Callithrix jacchus: one gene and its partners. The protein of the gene in region 6 binds, or shares a complex with, the protein of the main gene of each other region. Links are inferred from orthologs where the notes say so. Each region holds a gene or a part of one and is shown on either strand. Other genes may lie near its edges.

Region 1 (2,245 bases), on a different chromosome or scaffold from region 6:
ACTTTTTTCTCCTTAGTAAACAAACCATATGCCTTCAGCCTAAATGTCGGTTCCCAATTTCCGTTGTGCCTTGTCTGCACAATCATTTTAATTTTTAGATGTTTCAATTTTAGCTACAATATGTGCATTTAGCTTATACTGACACAGAAGTAACATGTAATTTTACTAAGTAAAATAAGACAGTACATTAATACCAAAAACATGTTTAATTTTATACATGTTAAAAGTGGCTCAAAAATAACTTTAAAAGTTGCATTTAAAAGGTCTCAGCTAAGATATAATTTTACAAGAAAAGGTCTGAAATTCACCTTCATAAAAATATCTAAAGCATATAAATAACTATCCTTTATAGAAAAAAAAAAGAGTATCAAGCTTATAAAAAAAAGCAACTTAAATAAAATTCAGTGACTTTTAAAGCATTAGTTTTGTGAGTAATCTTTCCCAATTGGTTCAGCATTTGGGCTTTGCTGGTAAATATCTGAATACAAATAGTTCACAAGTCAAGAACAAACAAATCTTTATTGTCTAGAAATATATATATATAAAAAAAAATCCCAGGGGCTGGGGTCAGGAAAAAAAAAAAATCCCCCACAAAATATGCTATTCTCTCATTTCCCCATCTTCTTCCTCTTCTTCCACACCTCTGATATAAAGGACATTATTACACCTGTAAATAGAAAAAGTCCATTTTGTTGTTTCAACCAGAATCCATGTATGATCTGAATTACTATATTTTTTATTATGAAAATACTGAATGCTATATTTATAATATTCCTGTCTTTCAAAAAATATATATTTGTTTTTAAAAAACGTTTTACATAGATAAGTTGAAAAGCACATGGCACTGATTTTCAACCATATGGTTGTTATAAAATGATATCTTTATAATTTTCCAAGGGAAATAATTATCAGAATTTGGAGCTTTGAAGCTAGTACAAAAATTCTTACAAACAGCCAGACCCAACTAAAATTCAAAACTAAGTGCCTCCAATGAAGGCCACTGAAAAAGGTTATATAGCTAAGAGCCAGAAAATTTAACATCAACACTAGAAAAATCTTTTGGCCAGTTCTAAAGCATTTTAAAACTTATCTTTGACAAGTTTAGCAATTTCAAAGACTTCTGAAGTCCAATTGTAAAGTATTATAAGTTAATAGTGATTTTTTAAAAATAAGTAACTCCAAAATTGAGGCTCTAATATATTTAAAACAGGTATTCCTAATGCTCACCAGTAACTCCTTACATATACCACTGCTGTTTTTTACCTTATTAAAACTTCACCCAGATGTCCAGACAATGCTCCATCTATGTATTCTTCTGTATTTGCAAGCTTTCAATAAAAAGAAATATATTAGTATAATCACACAGGAGGAAAATATTACAATACAGCTAATACTGTGAGAGAACTTATTAACTGATACCTTTCTACACCAACAACTCAAATCTATCTATAATTAATAAACAGAAGATGAGCTTTCTATTACTACTGTAGGACTTTTGGTTTCATATAAACCTTCAGTAAAATTAACATTCATGGATGTAGAACAAATATATAATAAAGCTTGTTTCAACATAAGTTTCTGAATCTCCCAGGTTACGTAATATTTCAGATATCAAAACTGTGTGGAAGCAGTCTCTAATTTATGAATAAATTGTGATTAAAAAGTTTTCTGAAAATTCATTCTAAAGCACCAAATGTTGTTTTCTCAGAGTCAACATTATAAATCATACTGAGGTGTCCAAATGGGTTACAAAAGCTATGGCTAACATGCCAAATACTTTCATATTAGGCAACATCCAAAGCAGGTAATTAAGTAAGAATTTTCTTCTTTTCTTGCCTTTTAAGAAACAGGGTCTCACTCTGTTGCCCAGGCTGGAGTGCAGTAGCACAATCATAGCTGACCAAAACCTCGAACTCCTAGGCTCCTCCCACGTCAACCTCCTGAGTAGCTATGATAGAAAGCATGTGCCACCAAGCCTGGCTACTTCAAAACAATTTTGCTATATTGCCCAAGCTGGTCTTGAACTTCTGCCCTCAAGTGATCCTCCCGCCTTGGCCTCCCAAAGTACTGGGATTATAGGTATGAGCCACCACATCTGGCCAATGAATAATAATTTTTTTAAAATTTTGTACTAATAAACAGGGAAAAAGAAGTTCTTAATAGAAAGTTAAATAGTTAAGTTTCACATTTACAGTTATTTTGTTGAACTCTTATTATTTCTAATTTTATATCAAAATGTTTAGTT
Region 2 (3,932 bases), on a different chromosome or scaffold from region 6:
GCTTTTTAGAAAATTATTCTCCAGATTTCCAGATCTTTTCTTTTTTGACTGCTCCTTGCAGAGCAGGATCATCCCAAAGACAGTGCACCTAGAGTAGCCAGCCCCAAATGTTTCAACAGCTTGCATCTTAGCACTCATGTCTCTGATCAGTCACCTCTCTCTAGAGCTGTTTTCTGACCATCTTGCCCAAAATAGCCACTTCACCCCAAACTTGAGTCACTCTCTAACCCTTTATCTTTATCTTACTCCTAGCATGTATTACCTGAAATTGCATTATTGATTTTACTCACAGTCTTTCTGTCCCATTAGAATGTAAACTCCATGTAGATCGAATGTTAAAATTAAAATAAACTCAGTTTCTATTATTTCACTCAACAATCAACAACACACAACACTTCTGATACCAGATGTGTGACAGTTTTCCCCCACATATCAAGGAAGCTATCAATTCTCTACTGGACACCAGCTAAGTATCCTCTCATTCAATTAAACTGTGATGTTATCTACCTGGAGATAGAGTCAGATGTCACAGGTTGAGGGCTCAGTCCACAAGACTGCCCTTATTTCAGATGCCAACAGTAGGTTTGGGCCACTGGCCAACTGACTACACACCAGGATCTCTTGACCTCATCCTCGGGTTCAACTAATTTGCTAGGGCAGCTCACAGAACTCAGGAAAATGCGTTTACTGGTTTAAAGGATATTACAAAGAATACTGATGAACACCAGATAGTAGGTATGGAAAGCTCTGGAGTCCCCAAGACTAGTCATTTAAAGACTGCATTCTGCCATTGTAAATTTAAGCACGCAATACCCATGACAGGCCAGGTGTGGTGGCTCACGCCAGTAATGCCAACACTTTGGGAGGCTGAGATGGGTGGATCACTTGAGCCCAGGAGTTCAAGACCAGGCTGGGCAACATGGCAAAACCCCACCTCTACTAAAAATAGAAAAATTAGCTGGGCGTCATGGCAAGGGTCTATAGTCCCAGCTACTCAGGGGCACTGAGGCAGGAGGACCACCTGAGCCTTGGGAGGTTGAGGCTGCAATGAGTTGTGATTGGGCCACTGCACTACAGCCTGGGCAAGAGTGAGACCCTGTATCAAAAATAAAATAAATAAAAAATACCCCGTGACATCTCTAGAAATTTTTCCTGTGTCCATTTCAAATTCCGCCTTTTCCACAAAGTCTCCCCTCATAACTTTACTAGTCCATGACACAGTGCCTCACACCTGCCTGTGGGGGGAGAGGGGGGAGGCGGGCACTCAAATGTTTGCTGCCTGTAACATTCACTAAAGAAAACTCTTGGCTGGGCGTGGTAGTGCATGCCTGCAATCCCAGCACTTTGGGAGGCTCAGATGAGAAGATTGCTGGAGGCCAAAAGTTGGAGACCACCCTGGCCAATGTAGTGAGACCTCATTTCTATTTTTTCATTAAAAAATATTTCAGATGCCGGACATGGTGGCTCATGCGGGCAATCCTAGCACTTTGGGAGGCCAAGACAGGAGGACTGCTTGAGGTCAAGAGTTCAAGACCAATCTGACCAACACAGTGAGAAAAATAAACCCCATCTCAAAAAAATAAACAAATAAAATTTTTTTTAAAAAAAGCAAAAAAAAAAAAAAATGTTGGAAAGGAGGGCGGAAGAAAACTCTCTAGCCCACATAGCTTATTCCATCTAATTCTTTTTGCACTAAGGTTAGTATTACACAAATATGCATGTTGTGTTCTGTAACTCTTTAATGTCTGTATGCCTTGTACTCCATCTTCCCTGCAGCCAAGGACAGATTTCCTTCTGTATACACAAACCCCAGGACAGAGCAAAGCACCAACAGTAATTCCCAAAACAAGTTTTTGATTAAAGCATTTTTTGGATTCAAACTGTCATCAGCCAGGAAAAAACTATGGGTGAGGGGAATGAAGGGTGTTAAGAGGGCTCAAGCTGATGTCCTAAAATGATTACATCCCCTACAACCTTCCTGAACACTAGACTTTTCCTGCTGAGTTCGTATGGAAACTTTTTCCACTTAAGATGGGGCAGCCAGGTTGGGGACTAGTAGGAGTTGTGTAACTTCTCGGACGCTGCCACTGAAAAGCATCTTTTTCTTAAAGGCGAGGAGCACTTTACAGACGGTTACTAAGGCAACCGGAAACAGCAAAACTCTGAGGTGGTTCTATCTACGGAAGAAATTCTACGATCCAAAGTTAAAGTGCGGTGCAGTGGTGCATATCCGCAGACAGCGGCCAGTACTGTGGCTCATTTAAATCTCTGTTCAGTTCCGGGCCCCTTTTTTCAGGAATCCTTATTTCGGGACGCCGAACGGACACCGAAAGGAAAGAGACCACCACAGGCAAACGGCCGGAAAGCGGCGCAGTCGCATCCCGCGCGGTTCACTCAGCCCAAATAAGCCACTACCGAACCCAATCCCATCTCGTTCGCCCAAGCCGCGGACCTGAGGGAGCGCTGTCCACTCCCCGCCAGATGCTTACGCGAAAAACGCATTCCTCAGCGTCTGAGGCCACGCCGCGGCTTTCGGCCTTGGTGAGGGGGTGAACTAAACCCGGGAAACCGCTCAAAGACCCCAGCTTCCACTAGGCCTAGTCGTAAAGGCGGCCGGCAGGAGGGCCTAGCCGTAGCCTTGGCCCACGTCATTCTGTGCCCCCGGTTAGGTCACCGCCCGGAGGCTATGGAAAGAGTAATGAAAACCACTAGTACTCCCAGACCCTTCCGTATCGAGGACCCCAATCAACAACCCACCTGGTGAGCGCCATCTTCTTCCGCTTCTTCCACCGCGAGAGACAGCACCGCGGGGCGGGTCTTTTCAGATGAAGAGGAGCGCAAAAGGAAGGGGCGCGCGATGCGCAGGCGCCCTGGCCGAACGGCCTTCTGGGATTTGTAGTTCTCTGAACAGGAGTACCATTTGTTCCTATTCTGACCGAACGGTTATCAAGGAATAATCTCTTCAGCTAGCAGCAAATGCATAACTCGATAGTTTATATGCTATGACATGATAGGGCGTTCCCTAGGCAAAATATCAACGATATAGCGAGATGCCTTTTAGGCTGCTTTATTTCGTTCTCTACTCAGTCCATTCCCCCTAGAAGGGGTACAAAATAGAAAAGCTTCCCGGGGACAGCTACTTTAAGTGAAAGGGTGGTAGGGCTTTTAAAAGGGTAGGAAATAGTGAGACTGGCTAATGGAGAGTTCTTGGATTCTCTGAAAACATTCACACTAAAAACTTTTCTTTAAACCGTATCCTCCCCCCCGCCAAAAAAAAAAAATAATAATAACTCTCCTGGGGAGATACTTTGTAATCCTTGGTAATTCACTGGGTGTCTGGGTTCTCTGCCCAGGGTAAGACAAGGCCGAAATCTCATCGGAGGCTCTGGAGAAAAATCCATCTCCTAACTCATTCTTTTAGCCAGAATTCAGTTCCTGGCGGTTGTGGGACTGAGTTGCCTGTTCTGTTGTGTGCTGTTAGTGGTGGACCCCCTCAGCTCCTAGGGGTCACTCTCAAGTCCGTCCCGCTTGAGCCCTATTGGTAGTTCACAACATGGATGTTTACTTTCTTCCAGGCCAGCTGAAGCACATCTTTCTGAGTCTTCTGCCACCGTTGGAGAAAAATGCTCTGCTTTTATTTATTTATTTATTTTTAAAAAGACGGGGTTTCATCATGTTGGTCAGGCTGGTCTTGAACTCCCGACCTCAGGTGATCCTCCCGCCTTGGCCTCCAGAATGCTTGGATTACAGGTGTGAGCCACCACGCCTGGCCAAATGCTCTGCTTTTAAAGGACTCATGTGATTAGATCAGGCCCACCTGGATAATCTCCAGATTTTAGGGTCAACTCTTGGTCGGGCGCGGTAGCTGACACCAGTAATCCTAGCACTTGGGGAGGCTGAGGCCGGTGGATTGCCTGAGCTCAGGAGTTTGA
Region 3 (4,210 bases), on a different chromosome or scaffold from region 6:
TAAGCCAATTCCATCCCTTCTGGATAACCAGATGTTAATTGTGAGATTAGAGATGCTGTTCATTAGTCCCAACAACACGGCCCCGCCTTGCTGCTGCTTTAATTCCAACTTCTGTTTCTTTCCTTACAGTTTTCTGAGAATGAGGTGGATACAGGAAACACCCTGTCTCCTCTGTGTATTTTTGTAGTGGAATTGCTATTTAAGGGGTTCATTAAAGCATGGTATTTATACACATTGTTGGCATTGTTTCTTGTGTTTGAATAAAGGATTCTCCTAGGTAGCAAAGAGTGGTGGGTAAAAGGTGGGTGTGACCCAAGAGAGGAAGGCATCCACCATATTATTGATAAGGAAACAGAGGAACTGGGTCTAGTGAGGCGCTGCAGAATTAAAGTGCAGTTTGGGGAAAGGGTTAGATGGGGCACGAGCATGTCAGGATGTTGTCGCTACCGGGCGCGGTGGCTCACGCCTGTAATCCCAGCACTTTGGGAGGCCGAGGCAGGGGGATCGTGAGATCAAGAGCTCGAGACTATCCTGGCCAACATGATGAAACCCTGTCTCTACTAAAAATACAAAAATTAGCTGGGTGTGGTGGCACGCGCCTGTAGTCCCAGCTACTCGGGAGGCTGAGGCAGGAGAATTGCTTGAACCCAGGAGGCGGAGGTTGCAGCGAGCTGAGATCGTGCCACTGCACTCCAGCCTGGCGATGGAGCGAGACTGTCTCAAAAAAAAAAAAAAAAAAAAAATGTCTCTGGGGCCAGAGTGTTCTAGAAATCCATACTGAAGTCTCTGAGCCCATCCACCCATCAGCTGTGGTCAAACACCCTCGGAGCAGCCTGATTCCCACCACCCTTCCCCTCCCCATGTTATTACGACGAAGTGAGCGCAGACGTCACTCCAGCTCAGACATTCCGCAGTCTCCTCCCCTGAAGGAAAACCAATACCTCCAGCCCAAATCAGGGCTGTGAGGCCAAATCAGGGCTGTGAGGCCAAATCTGCAAGAAGGCTGCAGGCGAGATGGAAGCTTCCCTCTGCGCCTGAAAGCAGCCGAGTCCTCCGGCTGCGGGGACTCTTCAGCACGTTCTTCTCTGGGAAACAAAAGAAGAATCAGTGGCCACAAAATATAGCAAAAGTAAAGCCTTGTCCTTTCAGAGTTCGAATTTACATTTTTGGGAGCAGTGTGATTTTTTCAAGCTTAGCATTAAGAGGGTCTGAGCGTTTCCATTTCGCCCTCCTCGCTTAGACCACTAGCAACAGAACAACTGCGCGGGAGGCGAAGACTATACCGGTCGAGCCGGGTTAAAACAAGGAGGCTCCTAAGATGGCTGCGGCTGCTCCCAGGCACTTCCTCTTCTGCGGCCCCGCCCACCATACGTCAGCCTTCGCCCCGGAAGTGGAAGTCGGGCTGAGGTCAGAGAGCGGAACCGCTGCTGGGAGACGGCGGGAGCTCCTTCGCCATGGCTGCCGGGCCGATCTCCGAGCGGAACCAGGGTAACTGGAGGGGGAGAATCTGGAATGCGCTCAGCATGGCGAGGAGGTCCCGACTAGGGTCAGCAGTGCCTCTGCAGGGGTGGGAAGCTGAACTCCTCGGTTCCCCAGAGGGCGCGAAACCGGCCCCATGCCTGCTGGGGGCGGGGTGGCTGGGTGCTGGCTTAGGCCTGTTGGTGTGATACTTTTATGTCCAATCCCCTGCTGCCTTCCCACTCAAAAAAATCCACCCAGAATACTAAATTAGCCTTGAGAGGATTTCCTAAGTCTTGGGAAGAAAGAGGTTTAAGGGTTAAACGTATTTTTTTTTTTTTTTTTGCTCCTACCCTGCCCCGGTCCCCAGTTCCTCTGGTTGGGTTCCATCTTCATGTTTCCATCACCTCCTTTCCTGTTATACTCTCACCGTTGCCCTGACTTTCTGCTCCCTCCCTTCAGATGCCACTGTGTACGTCGGGGGCCTGGATGAGAAGGTTAGTGAACCGCTGCTGTGGGAACTGTTTCTCCAGGCTGGACCGGTAGTCAACACCCACATGCCAAAGGATAGAGTCACTGGCCAGCACCAAGGTGAGTACATGGCAAGGGGCAAATTGCTCCTGGAGGGTCCCAGCAGTATTCACAACTGTTTTGGAATGAGATGAGCAACCTAAAGATTTCTTTGTTTTAAGCCTCAGTTCAGTTTATTTCTGGAGCCATTCTCAAATAAAGTGAGGTTGTTTCTCATTCTTTGTGATCAGAGGGGAGGTGAGTTTTACCCCATTTTGAATCTCTTCACTTAGGTTGTTAACCTCCTCTCCACTTCTGCAGGCTATGGCTTTGTGGAATTCTTGAGTGAGGAAGATGCAGACTATGCCATTAAGATCATGAACATGATCAAACTCTATGGGAAGCCAATACGGGTGAACAAGGCATCAGCTCACAACAAAAACCTGGATGTAGGGGCCAACATTTTCATTGGCAACCTGGACCCTGAGATTGATGAGAAGTTGCTTTATGATACTTTCAGCGCCTTTGGGGTCATCTTACAAACCCCTAAGATTATGCGGGACCCTGACACAGGCAACTCCAAAGGTTATGCCTTTATTAATTTTGCTTCATTTGATGCTTCGGATGCAGCAATTGAAGCCATGAATGGGCAGTACCTCTGTAACCGCCCTATCACTGTATCTTACGCCTTCAAGAAGGACTCCAAGGGTGAGCGCCATGGCTCAGCAGCTGAACGACTTTTGGCAGCTCAGAACCCACTCTCCCAGGCTGACCGTCCTCATCAGCTGTTTGCAGATGCGCCTCCTCCACCCTCTGCCCCCAATCCTGTGGTATCATCACTGGGGTCTGGGCTTCCTCCACCAGGTAAGGCTTTTGGTTAAAATATGTTTGTCCTTAAGGTTGGAGGAGTGCAGCAGGGGAAGAAAAAAGAGTCTGAAAGAGGGACATTGAGTCAATGAGTGATGGGAAGAGTGATGGGAAGTCAGTGAGTGATGGGAAGTGGTGGAGGAGAATGTTGTTGGGTATCTTTGGGAGGCTGAAGTTATTTGACTATTCTAACATTGCTTTTGATTTTCCAGCACTGGGAGGAGGGGCAAAGAACTCGCCGTGGCTGGAGAGGCCAAATATGGTCAGCTCTTTGAAGACATTTTCTCCCCACTACCATTAACTCTTCCTTCTTCCATTTCCTCTACAGGCATGCCTCCTCCTGGCTCCTTCCCACCCCCAGTGCCGCCTCCTGGAGCCCTCCCACCTGGGATACCTCCAGCCATGCCCCCACCACCTATGCCGCCTGGGGCTGCAGGACACGGCCCCCCGTCGGCAGGAACCCCAGGGGCAGGACATCCTGGTCATGGACACTCACATCCTCATCCATTCCCACCAGGTGGGATGCCCCATCCAGGTAGGTGTGCTTTGTTGGGAAAGGGAGGGAAGAGCTTGGTAGAGCATCTCTGTCACCACTCACCCTGCTGCCCTTTGTTCAACAGTAACAGTTTAAGAGTTTTCCTTTTCTTCAGACATTCTCTTATAAAAAAACATACAAAATACACTCTAACAGCTACCAGTCTGAAATGATTTCTTAAGTTTTTCTGATGAGCAGACTATGCTTGCTGTTTTTTGTTTCTTTACCTTTTAGTTCCATTCTCTCCTCTAACTCCACCTCAAAGTGGTGACCTAATTGCCAAATCTCAGGGACAGTTCTCCTTATCTGGTTTGACCTCTGATGTACTTGAAACGTGTCTTCCTATTTGAAATTCCTGTCTCGGCTGGGCATGGTGGCTTCTGCCTGTAATCCCTGCATTTTGGGAGGCTAAGCTGGGTGGATCACCTGAGGTCAGCAGTTTGAGACCAGTCTGGCCAACATGATGAAACCCCATCTGTACTAAAATACAAAAGATTAGGTGGGCATGGTAACTTGCTCCTGTAATCCCAGCTACTCGGGAGGCTGAGGCAGGAGAATCCCTTGAACCTGGGCAGCGGAGGTTGCAGTGAACTGAGATTGTGCCACTGCACTCCAGCCTGGTCAAGAAGAGCAAAAACTCCGTCTCGAAAGAAAAAAGGAAAACAAATTCTTGGCTGGGCACGGTGGCTCATGCCTGTAATCCCAGCACTTTGGGAGGCTGAGGCGGGCAGATCACCTGAGGTTGGGAGTTCAAGGCCAGCCTGACCAACATGGAGAAACACCGTCTCTACTAAAAATACAAAAAATTAGCCAGATACGGTGGCACATGCCTGTAAGCTC
Region 4 (3,500 bases), on a different chromosome or scaffold from region 6:
GCGTTTATGAGTCCAGAAAGATATATTTTGAGGCTAAAAACTATTTTTAAATTATATTGGTTTTTAGGTACTTTATAAAAAACAAACTGCACTGAAATATGTAAAACTACTCACTCCGTTACAATCATAAATTTTACTGATATTGTTTAAAAAATATGTTATCAAATTTACCTAATCTTGGAAAAACGATGAGACATAACCCAATGCTTTTATGATCATTTTAAATTAGTTTAAGTGTGGTGGTGTTAGAAGTGTCATTAGAATTTACTCTGATAAAAGTATTAGTTTGGCTAATTTCTTAAAACTGGAATATTTCAAAGTATATCAAACAGAATGATAGAAACTTGATGACATTATGCATATGGTATATACAACTACACAGTAAATACAATTATAAAATCCTATCATTTCTAATCCTATAACAAACCTGTATATAAAAATTTAGCTCCTGGTACAGCTGATTTCAACCCGCACAGAAAGTAAATTAATGGTTCTGGTACATAAGCCTAAACTATATTATTTAATTTGATCAATGTTTTCCAAACAGATGGCTTCTCTTAGCTCATTTAAGCCCTTATATTACCAACTAAACACCTTGGAAAATTAAAATCCCCTCCACTACTAAATCATCCTATTGTATAGCCTGCTAAAGGTACCTGATGATCTAAAGAAATTGTTTTAATATAATGTGTAGGCAGATTTGACAGAATAAAACTAGATGGCTATTACCAAAAATATACTCTAGAATACAAGGAACCTTTCAAAAGGGAAAAAAATGACAAACTTTTGTTGCATAGACAGCTTCTTCTTATAGTCTTTGCACTTCTTCTTCTTCTTTGAGGCATCATATTCTCCCTTCAGTTGAAACTTTGCCACCTCAACATGTAATTTGTAGCCTCTAATTTCATCTTCATCCAAAAGTTTTAATGCAAGTTCCACAGATTCTCTCTTTATAAAAGTAAGATAAAATATAGTTATACAACAAAATAAAACTTAAGGAGTTTTTTAGATAATTATAATTATACATACAATAATTTAAATTTTTATATTTATGTATTACTAATATATGAGATCGCTTTATCGCTTTGAGATAAAGAACTTTAGAATCCAAACCAGGATTCGAGACACAGCAGTCCCTAACCGGCCGTGTAAATGTGGGTAAATTATACAAGCTTCCTGAGCCCCGATACCATCATCTGTAAAATGGAAATAGTAAGATCTTCATCACAAAGTTCTTGACTAAATTAAATGAAATAATGCACGGAAAAGACAAGGACTAGCGTATGACAGGTGTTCAACAAATTATATTATTATTGTATAATCTTTTCTCAAGGCTGCAATTTCTCATCTGTAGAAAGAGGGGAGCAAACCTGTTAATTTCTAAGGTGTATTTGTTTTAAAATCCTATATAATACTCTTACTTAAGAGATGAGATGACTCAACGAACTGGGAACAGCATAGACAGCCTTTAATTTTTTTGTTCATCAACTAAAATGTAAGTTTGTAATACACTGAGAAGTAGAAGACAATTATCTGATGGCTTGTACTTTATATTAAATACATGTATGGATTCCGGGTCTTACACAGAAGCGACATTTATCAGCCCTACACAGAGTCAAAGATCAGAGGATCTGTAGAAAAAAAAATGGATAACTAAACTCAGCTGCTCACATAAAATATGGGTCCTGGAATAATTCGCTTCATTTTCCTGGAACTCAATTAACTGCTTTGACAATCTTGTATTGCTATGGGTCTCAAAACCCTATTTTTTTCCTTTAAAAATTTAAAAAATCTAACAGAATGCCCTAAGAGTCTGTTCACAGATTTTTTAATAATCCTTAAAGAACGTGTAAGACTCTCAAATCTCCTTATATTTTAATATTACAAACATCCTAAAATGGTCATGCTCACGTCCCAAAACCACCACATTTAAGATTCAAGTCAAAAACCTATTTCCCAAAAAGCTGTCAGCTTAATCCTACCCTCTTCTGATCCCACTGGAATACTGTGTACTCACAACACGCCCATGGTGTTTGTACCTTTGCTTTACCATTTTGATTTTACTCTGTAATTATTTTCAGGTTTTGACTTACATAAATGCCATCTTCATTTGTTCTGTACCCTGTGATAATGTATAACACATGCTCCTAAGGTGGCAGGTGTTCCAAAAATGATGGCTGCCTTTGGCATTAAGGTTTGTGTAATTTATGGTATTATGACTACATGCAGTTCTGCAAATTTCTCTTATTACCACTCTCGCTTTTTTCGCATTCGAAAAAATATTTTAAAGCAGTAAGCATAAGCTATCATCTCTGTATGGTCTAATTCAAGGGTCAGAAAAGTCCTTTTGTTAAAGGGCCAGTTCATAAATATTTTAGGGTTTGTAGGCCACAAGGTCTGTGCTGCAACCACTCAGCTCTATCAATGAAATATAAAAGCAATCATAGACAAATGCATAAGTGAATTAGTGTGGCTGTGTTCCATAAAGCTGGATTTACCAAAACAGGACTGGAGTTTGCTGAACCCTGGTGTAATTCACTCCAGTATACAAGGAAAACGTCATTGGCTTTTTTTTTTCTTCTTGAATTTTTAAAATGTATTCTGAATTGACTGTACACATCAATAAAGACATCTTTCCAGTGAGAGTTTTTCAAGACAAAAGAAGCACTCCATTCACATACTTATATAATACTTTAACCAGATAACATACTTTCTTAAAACAAGTGAATAATCTTACCAGTGTGATACACACAGGTACTAACCGAAATTCCGGTTTTCTTCATATCCTGTTTTGAATAGTTCTTGGTGTTGGTTATCACCTATAGACATTATAGCCCTGGTTCCTGAGTTAAAAACGAAGACACAGAAACTTATTTGATCATATAACTTACCTTCAAGTAACAGCAAAGACCGTCTCCTTTAAGATTTCCTTGGTTATCTTTGTAAAGTTTGACCTTAAATTCCTCTGTCTGAGGATCTCTCATAATGATGCCAAACTTGGACATGAGTTGTATAAATTCATCCACTGTAATATCTGGAGGCAAACCTGTCATTTAATTAAAAAACATTTATAATCGGTTATAAAGGTGAATTACTTAACATTCTACCAATTAGAACTCTATAACTTAGGTGAATGCAATGTTGATTTTTCTAAATGTATGGAAAAGTTTTACATTTACAGAACTGAAGAAATTTCACATTTCTGTGTGTTCAAGTATACATTAAAACTACGCTTTGTTGAAGGCCTCACTGAATGTGAAGGGACACACTGCTGTAAGCTACATTAACCAGGTCCAAAGGCTGGCATGTAAAGTTACACACTAAATTTCTTGGTTCTGTAATAAACACATATATTCCTTACTAATATAAATGGCTCGATAAAAAATGGACTCTGGAGAAACTGAAAGCTAAAAATCACTTCGTGAAAAATCTCAAAATTAAGTATTTCCTACCTTAAACTTAGTTAAAAATTTATACATACCAGACACGTATACATTTGT
Region 5 (4,255 bases), on a different chromosome or scaffold from region 6:
CTAACTTGTTCACCATACCCCAGCATTTAGAACAGTAGCTTGCTTATACAGTACGTGCCCAATAAATATTGCCCAGTGAATCACTCAGTAGGTCTTAAGATCACAACTACAGAAGCTATAAGTTACAGATTGCCATCTCTACTTCTCTTGATATGAAAACACTAAATATGAGTTACTTTTATTTTTGAGACAGGATCTTGTTCTGTCACCCAGGCTAGAGTGCAGTGACCCAATCCTAGCTCACTGCAGCCTCAAGCTCCCAGGCTCAAGCAGTCCTCCCACCTCTGCCTCCTGAGTAGCTGTGACACCATGCCAGGTTAATTTTTTTTCTTTGAGACAGAGTTTCACTTTTGTTGCCCAGGCTGGAGCTGGAGTGCAATGGTGTGATCTTGGCTCACTGCAACCTCTACCTCTGGGGTTCAAGTGATTCTCCTGTCTCAGCCTCCAGAGTAGCTGAGATTACAGGTGCCCCCCGCCATGTCCAGCTAATTTTTGTGTTTTTAGTAGAGATGGGGGTTTCACAGTGTTGGCCAGGCTGGTCTCAAACTTCCGACCTCGTGATCTGCCCGCCTCAGCCTCCCAAAGTGCTGTGATTACAAGTGTGAGCCACCACAACCGGCCGACAGGCTAATTTTTGTAATTTTTTTTAATAGCAGAGACGGGATTTTGCCATGTTGCCCAGGCTGGCCTTGAACTCAGGGACTCAAGTTATCTGCCTGCTTCAGCCTCCCAGAGTGCTGAGATTACAGGTTTGAGCCACCTCTCCTGCCTGAAATTGTTGGGGATTTTTTTGGTTTTGTTTCCGTTTTTTTTTTCCAGATGGAGTCTCGTAGTTGCCCAGGCTGGAGAGCAGTGGTGCCATCTGGGCTCACTGCAACCTCCACCTACTGGGTTCAAGCGATTCTCCTGCCTCAGCCTCTCAAGTAGCTGGGATTACAGGTGCCCGCCACCATGCCCAGCTAACTTTTGTATTTTTAGTTACCTATAGGGTTTCATCATGTTGGCCAGGCTGGTCTCAAACTCCTGACCTCAGGTGATCTGTCCACCTCAGCTTCCCAAAGTGCTGGGATTACAGGTGTGAGCCACTGTGCCTGGTCAAAAAATTGCTTTTATTTTTTATTTTATTTTTTTGAAATGGAGTCTTGCTCCCATTGGGCAGGCTGGAGTGCAATGGCATGATCTCAGCTCACTGCAACCTCCACCTCCAGGGTTCAAGGCATTCTCCTTTTTCAGCCTCCCAAGTAGCTGGGATTACAGGATACGCCACTACGCCCAGCTAATTTTTGTATTTTTAGTAGAGACAGGGTTTCACCATGTTGGCCAGGCTACTGAACTCCTGAGCTCAGGTGATCCTCCAGCCTCAGCCTCCCAAAGTGCTAGGATAGGTGTGAGCCACTGTGCAGTGGCTGAAATTGCTCTTTTTAAGACATCTTTTTTTGGGCTGGGCATGGTGGCTCATGCCTGTAATCCCAGCACTTTGGGAAACCAAGGCAGGTGGATCACCTGAGCTCAGGAGTTCAAAGCCTCATCTCTTCTAAAAATACAAAAATTAGCCAGGCATGGTAGTGGGCACCTGTAATCCCAGCTACTCAGGAGGCTGAGATAGGAGAATCACTTGAACCTGGGAGGCGGAGGTTGCAGTGAGCCGAGATCTTGCCATTGCACTCCAGCCTGAGGAAAAAAAGTGAAACTGTCTCAAAACAAAACAAAACATCTTTTTTTTGAGACATGGTCTCGCTCTGTTGTCCAGGTTAGAGTGCAGTGGAGCAATCTCAGCTCACTTTGGCCTCTGCCTCCCAGACTCACGCAATCCTCCTGCTTCAGTCTCCATGGGCCTATAGGTGCACACAACTGTGAGCGGCTAAGTTCTGTATTTTTAGTAGAGACGGGATTTTGCCATGTTGCCCAGGCTGGTCTCAAACTCCTCAGCTCAAGTGATCCGTTTGCCTCAGCCTCCCAAAGTGCTGGGATTACAGGCGTGAGCCACCACGCCCGGCCCCAACGACTCACTTCTAACTCACCTATCTCACCCCGGCCCATTAGACCTTTAGGGAACCGACCCCGCCCTTACCAATAGCAAACTCCACGAGGGTCTCATTCTCCTCCGACAGCGAATCGAGAAATAAATCCAGGACCTGCAGCTGCCGCAGATACTCGTAGTTGTTGGGGTCATAAGCGAAGTTGGCGAGGTTGGCGAGGACTTGCTCCTTGGCGTCTGCAACGGGAAAGCGGCACTGGAGCCAGGTCCGAGCGGCGGTCACAGCAGACCCTGCCCCCCTGGCCCCACCGTGGCTCTCACCTTGGCTCTGGGTCTCCTGGAATTCCGTGACCAGCGCCTGCAGGAATCCCAGCCGCCCGACGTGAGGGTCCACCTTCGGCTTCTGGGCCATGGCCGGTGTGGCAGAGGACCCCCAGGGACGGACGGGAGGGTGGGAAAGGTGCAGGGGAAAGCCGAGCGAGACCTTCACCTGCCCTCCACCTGTGTGGAGAGGGAAGATGGGGGGCGGCAAACGGGTTTCTTTCTAGAGTTCAGATTCTACAGTAATTTGCCGCTGAAAATGGGACGTGGGAGATGGGGCGTGGTCTCAGAATCCTGTGGGAGTTGGGTTTGAAAATCGAAATTGGGGCGCGGGCGACGAGGAACAGTCTACGAGTTGGGGCTTGCAGAGGGGGCACCAGCGCCGTGTGCCGGGTGCCGGGTGCCGGATCCCGGATCCCGGGTCCCGGATCCCGGATCCCGGATCCCGGATCCCGGGATCTGTTCCGAGCTCCCAGCGGAAGCCGCGCTGTCTCCGCCCTTAATATAGCGGAAGGAGCGGGCACGAGGAGGAAAGGGCGGGACAGGGGCGGGGCCGTCGACGAACTCCTTGGCGCACGTACTCCGCGCGGTTACGTTTTTTCTGGATGCGGAAGCCCTTCAGCCTGGGCTGCAGCCCGCTGCTAGCGGATTCCCTGAGACAGGTGCGGGCGTGGGTGGGTTTACTGCGAGGAGCAGCCTGGTTTCCCTTATCTCGTTTCCAGCTGCAAATTACTGCAAAATCTGAACGCAAGAAAGAAACCCACTTGCTGCCCCGGCCGATAGGAGGGCGGGTTAGGGCCTCGCTCGGCTTTCCCGCCCCACCTTTCCCACTCTCCCGCCCATTCCCCGGGGCCCTCAGCCGCCCCGACGTGGCCCAGAAGGTAAGACGCCCACGTCAGGCGGCTGGATTTCCGCGAGGAGCAGCGGAGTCTGCCAGAACCCATGTGGCAGGACGTCGAGGGAGAAGCACCTCCAGGACCCCCACGGCTGGCGGGGGCGTGGCCCAGCCTCCTTGACCCGGACGGCCCTTCGGAGCGCGGGCGTCAGCTCTCTGTGCCCCCCATCGGTCCTTTGCCCCTTTTGCAAAAAGCCTGGCGACCCCGATACGCCCTCCATCCCAGCCCGAGGTGGGTCCGCCACCTCTGGACAGAAATCAAGGGGACTGGCTTATGTCCTGGGGCTTTTCGTCAGTCGGGTGGACGGCGCGCGCCCGGGGAAGCACCGGGGAGCCGGAGGAGGAGCCTTGGATGTGGCCCTTTCAGGGCTTTCTGGATGCTGAAGCCCTTCGGCCGGTTCCCTGTCGGGGATTCTCAGGAAGCAGGTGTGTGCTGCATTAACTCGTGGTCACAGGGAACAAAGCACCAGGGAAGGAGGTGGCCTTGCCACTCTCCGATCGTGTTTGACAATGTGGTATAGGTGGCTTAGGCTGTGCATGTCCTGAGAGTACAAAAGTGGAGTCACTTGCGTTAAAAAACAAACAAGGCCGGGAGCAGTGGCTCACGCCTGTAATTCCTGCACTTTGGGAGGCCGAGGCGGGTGGATCACGAAGTCAAGAAATCGAGACCATCCTGGTCAACATGGTGAAACCCCGTCTCTACTAAAAATACAAAAAATTAGCTGGGCATGGTGGCTCGTGCCTGTAATCCCAGCTACTCAGGAGGCTGAGGCAGGAGAATTGCCTGAACCCAGGAGGCGGAGGTTGCGGTGAGCCAAGATCGCGCCATTGCATTCCAGCCTGGGTAACAAGAGCCAAACTCCCGTCTCAAAAAAACAAAACAAAAGAAAAAAACCAACAAAATCCCGACAGAGTTCAAGAAATCCAGGACGAGAGAGTTCTCATGCATAAATATCTGATAAAACTATCACAAAGACTGCAAAAACCACCACGTTGCACAAAGGCCATCACAAACTTGCACAAAACCACTTCTGCACGGCCATCTGCCCAGCAACTGCCTG
Region 6 (4,258 bases):
AGGAGGCGGGGGCCCCAAATTTGGTGGGTGGGCCATAGGAAAGCCAAGGCCAAGGCCTGGTGGAGGTGGTGGGGGTGGCGGAGGAGGCTGTAGAGGGGGGAGTCCCATAGGTGGTGGTGGCATAGGAATTCCAGGGAGCTATGGAGAAAATATGATCATGAAACTAGGAAGCATTTATTCATTATGCAAACATTTGGGGGAATCTACTTTGAGTCAGGAGCTGGGATTCTAAGTTAAATGATACACAGTTCCTAAGAAAGAATGCTCCACAGCACTATGAAGATATGACAATGTTAACTTCCTTTGGCATCAACCAAAGGAAGCTATCCTGAACAGAGATTCTGCATACAATTCCAGGAGACTCGAGGACACCTCTGAGGTCATCTAGGGACTCCTCATCCTACACACAGAGATCAACAGATCTCAGGTCAGAGCCACTATTTTAGAGAAAAAGAGGCAAATCCTAGATCAGAAGGAACATGGAAATTGAGACGACTTAAATAAACAGGAACCACTGTGCCAAGGCAATACAAACCCCAATGACTACTAAACGCAAGGAGTATGAAATCAAATCAGGGAGCCCTAGATGTCTCACAAAAGAACATGGGAACTGTGCCCAAGGCAGGCAAAGAAGACGGTGATTGCTTCCAGCTGGGTAGGGACAAGTTAGGCTTCCTTGCATTCAAGCTTTTTTTTTTTTTTTGAGACAGAGTCTTGCTCTGTTGCCCAGGTGGGAGTGCAGTGGCGCAATCTCGGCTCACTGCAACCTCTGTTTTCCAGGTTCAAGCAATTCTCATGTTTCAGCCTCCCAAATATCTGGGATTATAGGCACTGCCACCAGACCTGGCTAATTTTTGTATTTTTAATGGAGATGGGGGTTTTACCATGTTGGCCAGGCTGGTCTTGAACTCCTGACCTCAAGTGATCCATCCACCTCAGCCTCCCAAAGTGCTTGGTTGAGTCACCGAGCCCTGCCTTTCTTTTGAGACAGAGTCTCACTCTATCACCTGGGCTGGAGTGCAGTGGCTAGATCTCGGCTCACTGCAACCTCCACAACAATTCTCCTGCCTCAGCCTCCCAAGTAGCTGGGATTACAGACATGTGCCACCACATCCAACTATGTTTTGTATTTTTAGTAGAGACGAGGTTTCACCATGTTGGCCAGGCTGGTTTCGAACTCCCAATCTCAGGTGATCCATAAGCCTTGGCCTCTCTAAGTGCTGGAATTTTTTTTTCCAATTTTTTAATTTAATTTTAAGTTCTGGTGTACATGTGCAAGATGTGCAGGTTTGCTACATAAGTAAATATGCACCAGGGTGGCTTGCTGCACCTATCAACCCATTGCCTAGGCATTAAGTCTGGCATGCATTAGCTGTTTTTCCTGACACTCTCCCAGCCCCTGCCCCACCCTCTCCTTTTTTTTTTTTTTTCTGTTTAAGAAACAAAGTCTCATTCTGTCACCCAGGATGGAGTACATGCAGTACAGTGGTGCAACCATAGCTCACTGCAGCCTCGAACTCCAGGGCTCGAGCAATCCTTAAGTCTCAGCTTTCCCAGTAGCTGGGACTCTATAGGTGCGTGCTGCTGTGCCGATAATTTTTTAAACTTTTTTGTAGTATCAGAGTCGTACTACGTTGCCCAGGCTGGTCTTGAACTCCTGGCCTCAAGTGATTCTCCCATCTAGGCATCCCAAAGTGGTGGGATTACAGGCATGTGCCACTGCACCCGGCCACAAGCTCAATCTTGAATGACAGGTAGAATTTGGAGAAGCAGACAGTGGGAAGGAGGCGTCAGCATCAAAGAGAGAACTGAAGAGCTCACAATTCTGCCACGGCAGTACCTCCCTGCCCAAACTGTTAGTTGCATCCCAAGTATACTGCAGGTGAAAGGAAAGGCTTCCCTGAACAGATGGAATCTTTTTTTCTTTTCCCCTCCTCAGGTTAGGCTAGTAATTAATGTGCAAGAGTGTCACATCTCACACATGCGCGTGAACACCCAATCATTACACTCATGAACTACAAAAAAATCAGCAGATAGAATACTTAAAAATGGAAGAACCTCCCTACCTGTGCTGACATGGGAGGTGGAGCGGCTTTGTCCCCATCTTCCCCTCTCAAAACGGGCCGATTCAGCACGATGCCAGTCTGCAAAAGAGAAAGGACTCTAGGTCGGTGCAAAATTAGATATTTCACTAAACGACATTTTCGCCCAATTCATTCAACAAAATGCACCTAGCGCCTGTCTGCGAGCGCTCCGGCTGGGCACTGAAGAGGACCAAGATAAATACAAGAGATTACAACTAAGCTAGCAAAGGCAAGAAGGCAAAGAGAGCAAGCCTCCGCCTTGCTGTGCCGAGATAAAGAAAGACCGAGCCGTGAGGAGTATAGGTCTCCTGGAGACACTCGGCCTGACGTCTTGCCGCCAACACCCACCTGGCGGGTGTAGGTCTGCAGCCGCTCCACCAGCTCCTCGCGACTACCTGCGAGGCAAAGTACACAATCAATAAGGCAGGCCAGCCCGGCCAGGTCAGGCCCCAGCGGCCCGCCTCCGCCCCTCGCGCCCGGGTTTCCCGGGTAACCAGGCTCCGCTTCTCCGCAGGCCAGTAAAGGCCCCTTGACTTCCTGCGTTCCTCACCCTGGATCGGAGCTCCGATCTCTGCCAACTTGGCCTGAAGCTCCTGGGCAGCCCAGGCGCCATAGTGGCCTGGAGGTGGCGGCGGCGGCGGCAGCTGCAATTCCGCTTTGGGAGGCTCCGGGTGCTCGGTCGCCATCTTAGCCGCAGGAAGGCGCACGACCAACCCGGAAACTCGGGCCAGCCGCCGGGCCCACTTTCCGGAACTTCCGGCAGCGCCGTGCGCCACGTCCTCTCTGGTTGGGAGGCTGTGCGCCCCCTGCCGTTCCCTGGGCCACCGGATTCGCCGCAGACGCCCCTTTCACCAACGACCCCTCGGCGGCCTAGTCGCGAGGCCTCCTGGGAGTTGTAGTGCACAGGTCTCGGTCTCTACGGGCCTTGCGCCTCGCTACTGCCCGAAGGCCGGCGGCGGGCCCGTGGGCGGGGCTGCGGAGAAGGCTGGCCCTTCCCCGAGGGAGTGTTTTCTGCGCCTCACCTGCGGGAGCGCAGGCTTTCAAGCCTTCCGGCCCGGCTCCCCGGTCAGAGGCCCTGATGCTTACGCTCCCAGGGAGTCCCGAGAGACTCATTTCCCCGGCGGCCCCGCGTTGCGGGCGCCCAGCGGGAGGCTGGAGCCGATGCCTGGGATAAAACAGTGTCTGATTGTTTGCCCGCCCACCCCCGGCCCAGGCCCGGATGAATGGGCTGAAAGGGGATCCGAGCCGGGAGAGGAGCGGGACCGCCCGGGCTGAGCTCCAGCTGCCGACCTGGGGGAAGGGCAACACTAAAACCCCCTTTTCCACCGTCCAGGCCGGCTCAAATGTCGTCTCCTCCACTAAGCTTTCTCCTGCTTTCCTTTCCTTTCTTAGAGCTCCCATAATACATTCGAATCTCCACCGTTCTTTCTTGCCCTTTCTTCCTACCTCCAACTCAAAAGTATGAGCAGGTACTTGATCTTTTTCAGTCTCGCACTGCCTGGCGTTCAAGAGGTGCCCAATAAATGATTACTAGAAAAAAGGAGTAATTGTTCTGGTGACAGCATTTGTCTTTTTTAGTCTCAAAAATAAACTCAGTTGGGAGGCCGAGGCGGGTGGATCACGAGGTCAAGATATCGAGACCATCCTGGTCAACATGGTGAAACCCCGTCTTTACTAAAAACACAAAAAATTAGCTGGGCATGGTGGCGCGTGCCTGTAATCCCAGCTACTCAGGAGGCTGAGGCAGGAGAACTGCTTGAACCCAGGAGGCGGAGGTTGCGGTGAGCCGAGATCGCGCCATTGCACTCCAGCCTGGGTAACAAGAGCGAAACTCTGTCTCAAAAAGAAAAAAAAATAAATAAAAATAAAAAAAATAAATAAACTCAGGCCCTTTTCCCTCAGCCGCACGCACTGGGGGCCACCTTGCCTCCCGCTCCCCACCCCAATTCCCCCTGGCCTTTAGGGATATTGGCAGAGACTGGCAGGGTTCCTTGCCTGCCTAGCATCCACCTCTCCCAGTCCCACACCATCAATTCAGTTTCTCTCCCCACCTCTGCCACTAGCTCTGCACTCTCACTGACCAGGCTCACTGTGTGTTCAGTAAGGGAGGGGGAGACTCAAGTGGAATGGTCTCATTTCGCCACTGCACATACCCTTCAGATCTTTCCTCTAGC
Region 7 (3,500 bases), on a different chromosome or scaffold from region 6:
TGTTCCCTAATGCTCCCCAGAGACCTTACTCCAGCGCCCATTCAGGCCCAGGCCAGGCTGGTTTCCACGCTGTGGAGCCGTGGCCCGGGGGCTCATGGAGACGGGCTGCTGGAGCAGCCGGTGAGACGCGGGCGAGGTACTCACAAGTTGGTCTGGTGCTTCTTCCCCTGGGTATGTGCCAGGTAGCTCCCCTGGAGTGGAAAGGAAACACATGTGACTCGAGGCCGAGGGGACAGACACGGGGCAGGAAACACGCGTGACTCAAGGCCGAGGGGACAGACACGGGGCAGGAAACACGCGTGACTCGAGGCCGAGGGGGCAAGACATGGGGCAGGAAACACGCGTGACTCGAGGCCGAGGGGGCAAGACACGGGGCAGGAAACACGCGTGACTCGAGGCCGAGGGGACAGACACGGGGCAGGAAACACGCGTGACTCGAGGCCGAGGGGACAGACACGGGGCAGGAAACACGCGTGACTCGAGGCTGAGGGGACAGACACGGGGCAGGAAACACGCGTGACTCGAGGCCGAGGGGACAGCACGGGCCGCACCTCGTTGTTGTGAAGCGTTAGGCAGAGCTTGCATTCATAGGAGCCCAGGTGGTTTTTCATGAAATACGGGTCCTGGAAGGGAAGAACAGGTACCCCGTTAGACAGAAGATAATGGCCTGCCCTGCGGTCGGGGCCCTCAGAGGTGGGACCCCCTTTCTGTGGAGGCCTGGCTGTCCCTGATGGATCTGGCGAGGGGCCTCGTGAGCACGCGTGTGGCCACCTGGGGCTGTGGCCTAGGCTTTGAGCAGTGGGTTCCCAGGGAGCCCTGGCACCACCTTCCTGGTGGTTCTGAGGCAGAGAGGCAGAGCCAGGACAGCAGCGCCTGTCACTCTGATGCAAGGAGCCGTCCGCTGTCCACGCCACCAGGCCAGGGGTCAGCACAAGGCAGACGCAGGGATGAGAAAAGCAATGGGTGACATGGAAGGCCACGCGCATCCACGGGCCCTGAACTGGGGCAGGCAGGCACACACTTCTCGTCTCAGACCCTGGAGTTCAAACCCTAACTCCACCCCCTGCGGCCTGGCACCCCTCCACCGTGATCTCATCTGGAAGACAAGGAACGTCACAGAGCCTATGCTGCAGGCCAGGCCCGTGGGGCATGTCAGGGAACACGGCACTGGTGGGTCCTGGTGGCATCCAAACCTAAGGAAGCGCACGCTGGCAGGGTCTCGGCTGGGATCCACCCTCACAGGGGCCTGGGCGGTGTCTGGGGACATCTGTGTTTGTCCCGATGGGGGGAGCTCCTGGCACGGAGCCAGTGGGGGAAGGGATGCTGCTTGGCACCCTACAGTGCCCGGGACGGCCCCAGCCCAGTGCTGCAGCCCCGACGTCCACAGTGCTGAGGGGGACCCGGCCCACCCCACCTCTGCACAAGGTAAAACCAGAGCCTTCACTGCATCTGACTGGACCGACATCAGCTCCCCCCATTTCCACAAACTGGATGATGCCCAACAAGGCTTTGCACAGAGCCCACCATTTCCACCCGGGGCTCAGAGCCACAGAGGGTCTGCTGCCTGGCGTGGCTGGATGGGAGCTGCGGCTGCATCGCCCTGCCCAGCCGGCCGCCCACCTTGTTGATGTCGATGGTCTCCAGGGCCAGCTGCCGGAGGCGCTCCCTGCGGTCACGGTTGCTCTCGGAGGAGGAGGCCACGCCCCCGCTCCCGGTCTTGCCCCCAGGGCGATGCTGGAAGTCCATGGTGACGGCCTCCGGGCTTCAGCAGACTGGGAGACACCTGTGGAGGAGTGTGAAGACGGCTGAGAAGGCGGGGCTGCTGCTGGGACCTCCTGGGGCACCCAGCCTGTGGAGGCCAAGAGGAGACTGAGAAGGACGGCTAGAACTCGGGGCTGCTGCTGCCACCCCAGGGCCGGGCAGTCAGGTTGGGGCCAGCAAGACTGCTCCTCACCCTGCACTCCCAGCGCCAGGGTCTCACCAGCCCTGAGGGGCCACCTGCTAGTGCACTGACTCTCTTCCAGGGTGCCAGGGCCCACTGTGGGCCGGGCACAGACATGAGGAAGCTGGAGCCTGCCTCTTGACCGTGCAGGAGGGTGGAGGGGAAGCCACTCCAGCCCACGGTGCCAAGGCCTGGAGACCTGAAATGGCGACAGGGAGTCAGAGAAGGCACAACCAGGGAAGAGGCGGCCAAATTCTCACCACCGAGTCACCACCTCCAGGAAGCCATCGGGACTGCCCGAGCCCCCAGTGTTCACACCTTCCTCTCAACTCCCTCTAGGGTTGGCTACGCTTACTTGTCCCAACCTGAGTTCTATCTCTCGGAATCGGCTGTGAATTTTCTGGGCAGAGAGGGAGACGTGGATCTTCCGGTCCTCACTGGGTAACACCGGGAGATCAGCCACATCTGCCTGTGGCGCAGGAGGGCTCTCCTGAGTCCCAAACACCCGCTTCCCGCCGCAGCCCTCTGCCGCTGCTCCACACCCTCAGGCTCCAGGCAGACCCAAGCTCCAGGCAGCTTCCCCTCCTCTCCTGACGCTTTTCCCTGCCCCTTCAACACCTGCCCCGGGCCCTGGTTTAAAGGCCCTGGGTGAGCTCAGGAGACCGAGTGAATCATTCATGGCCCCCAAAGACGTCCGTCCACATGCGAACCCCTGGGCCCTGCGAACCCTCACACGGCAGGAAAGGGAAGCGCAGGTGGGCCTGAGGATCTTAAAACAACGGGTGATCCTTTCAGCATCCTCCCGAGAGGAGGGGGAGGCTGGGGGACAGAGAGGCTGTGCTGTGCTGTGAACAGGGAGGACGAGGGGAAAGGCGGGAAGAGTTCCGCTAACAGAAGGGATGGAGCCTCAGGGACTGTTTGCACTTCCAGCCCCAGATCCAGAAGCGGATGCAGCCACGTCACCTGAACTGCCGCGTCTTCGGTGATCTGCCACAGCGGCCGCAGGTGTGCAGGAGCACGCTGAGGTACAGGCCAGCTGTGCTGCTGACCTGCGGTGGGACCTGAGGTCACTCCTCAGCTGTGGGGGCCCAGGACCCTCCCACCCAGTTAGTTTATGACAACGATCCAGTGTGGTAACCGGTGGGACGGGCTGCTGACCTGCGGTGGGACCTGAGGTCACTCCTCAGCTGTGGGGGCCCAGGACCCTCCCACCCAGTTAGTTTATGACAACGATCCAGTGTGGTAACCGGTGGGACGGGCTGCTGACCTGCGGTGGGACCTGAGGTCACTCCTCAGCTGTGGGGGCCCAGGACCCTCCCACCCAGTTAGTTTATGACAACGATCCAGTGTGGTAACCGGTGGGACGGGCTGCTGACCTGCGGTGGGACCTGAGGTCACTCCTCAGCTGTGGGGGCCCAGGACCCTCCCACCCAGTTAGTTTATGACAACGATCCAGTGTGGTAACCGGTGGGACGGGCTGCTGACCTGCGGTGGGACCTGAGGTCACTCCTCAGCTGTGGGGGCCCAGGACCCTCCCACCCAGTTAGTTTATGACAAC

The links.
Region 1: SF3B2 (region 6) and SNRPF share a complex: the UniProt entries of both Homo sapiens proteins name them as parts of the minor spliceosome. The link is inferred for Callithrix jacchus from reciprocal best matches to the Homo sapiens genes SF3B2 and SNRPF.
Region 2: SF3B2 (region 6) and SNW1 share a complex: the UniProt entries of both Homo sapiens proteins name them as parts of the minor spliceosome. The link is inferred for Callithrix jacchus from reciprocal best matches to the Homo sapiens genes SF3B2 and SNW1.
Region 3: SF3B2 (region 6) and SF3B4 share a complex: the UniProt entries of both Homo sapiens proteins name them as parts of the SF3B subcomplex of the 17S U2 SnRNP complex. The link is inferred for Callithrix jacchus from reciprocal best matches to the Homo sapiens genes SF3B2 and SF3B4.
Region 4: SF3B2 (region 6) and HTATSF1 share a complex: the UniProt entries of both Homo sapiens proteins name them as parts of the 17S U2 SnRNP complex. The link is inferred for Callithrix jacchus from reciprocal best matches to the Homo sapiens genes SF3B2 and HTATSF1.
Region 5: SF3B2 (region 6) and ARMC7 share a complex: the UniProt entries of both Homo sapiens proteins name them as parts of the minor spliceosome. The link is inferred for Callithrix jacchus from reciprocal best matches to the Homo sapiens genes SF3B2 and ARMC7.
Region 7: SF3B2 (region 6) and SF3A2 share a complex: the UniProt entries of both Homo sapiens proteins name them as parts of the 17S U2 SnRNP complex. The link is inferred for Callithrix jacchus from reciprocal best matches to the Homo sapiens genes SF3B2 and SF3A2.

What each region holds. Positions count from the first base shown.
Region 1 is NC_133510.1:98,945,661-98,947,905, reverse strand, and holds the end of SNRPF (small nuclear ribonucleoprotein F), read right to left. Parts: intron 1,329-2,245; coding exon 1,264-1,328; intron 668-1,263; coding exon 601-667; 3' UTR 501-600; downstream 1-500. UniProt on the Homo sapiens protein: Plays a role in pre-mRNA splicing as a core component of the spliceosomal U1, U2, U4 and U5 small nuclear ribonucleoproteins (snRNPs), the building blocks of the spliceosome.
Region 2 is NC_133509.1:112,714,242-112,718,173, forward strand, and holds the start of SNW1 (SNW domain-containing protein 1), read right to left. Parts: upstream 2,801-3,932; 5' UTR 2,772-2,800; coding exon 2,758-2,771; intron 1-2,757. UniProt on the Homo sapiens protein: Involved in pre-mRNA splicing as component of the spliceosome. As a component of the minor spliceosome, involved in the splicing of U12-type introns in pre-mRNAs.
Region 3 is NC_133519.1:9,859,729-9,863,938, reverse strand, and holds the start of SF3B4 (splicing factor 3B subunit 4), read left to right. Parts: upstream 1-1,410; 5' UTR 1,411-1,454; coding exon 1,455-1,488; intron 1,489-1,920; coding exon 1,921-2,049; intron 2,050-2,289; coding exon 2,290-2,832; intron 2,833-3,163; coding exon 3,164-3,370; intron 3,371-4,210. UniProt on the Homo sapiens protein: Component of the 17S U2 SnRNP complex of the spliceosome, a large ribonucleoprotein complex that removes introns from transcribed pre-mRNAs.
Region 4 is NC_133524.1:133,298,977-133,302,476, reverse strand, and holds part of HTATSF1 (17S U2 SnRNP complex component HTATSF1), read right to left. Parts: coding exon 3,482-3,500; intron 3,047-3,481; coding exon 2,892-3,046; intron 949-2,891; coding exon 785-948; intron 1-784. UniProt on the Homo sapiens protein: Component of the 17S U2 SnRNP complex of the spliceosome, a large ribonucleoprotein complex that removes introns from transcribed pre-mRNAs.
Region 5 is NC_133506.1:131,033,034-131,037,288, reverse strand, and holds the start of ARMC7 (armadillo repeat-containing protein 7), read right to left. Parts: upstream 2,801-4,255; 5' UTR 2,391-2,800; coding exon 2,300-2,390; intron 2,216-2,299; coding exon 2,072-2,215; intron 1-2,071. UniProt on the Homo sapiens protein: As a component of the minor spliceosome, involved in the splicing of U12-type introns in pre-mRNAs.
Region 6 is NC_133511.1:123,126,769-123,131,026, reverse strand, and holds the start of SF3B2 (splicing factor 3B subunit 2), read right to left. Parts: upstream 2,801-4,258; 5' UTR 2,771-2,800; coding exon 2,635-2,770; intron 2,480-2,634; coding exon 2,433-2,479; intron 2,145-2,432; coding exon 2,067-2,144; intron 2,028-2,066; exon of another isoform or gene 1,934-2,027; intron 139-1,933; coding exon 1-138. UniProt on the Homo sapiens protein: Component of the 17S U2 SnRNP complex of the spliceosome, a large ribonucleoprotein complex that removes introns from transcribed pre-mRNAs.
Region 7 is NC_133523.1:2,124,478-2,127,977, reverse strand, and holds part of SF3A2 (splicing factor 3A subunit 2), read right to left. Parts: intron 3,044-3,500; exon of another isoform or gene 2,906-3,043; intron 1,784-2,905; 5' UTR 1,747-1,783; coding exon 1,621-1,746; intron 624-1,620; coding exon 552-623; intron 192-551; coding exon 145-191; intron 1-144. UniProt on the Homo sapiens protein: Component of the 17S U2 SnRNP complex of the spliceosome, a large ribonucleoprotein complex that removes introns from transcribed pre-mRNAs.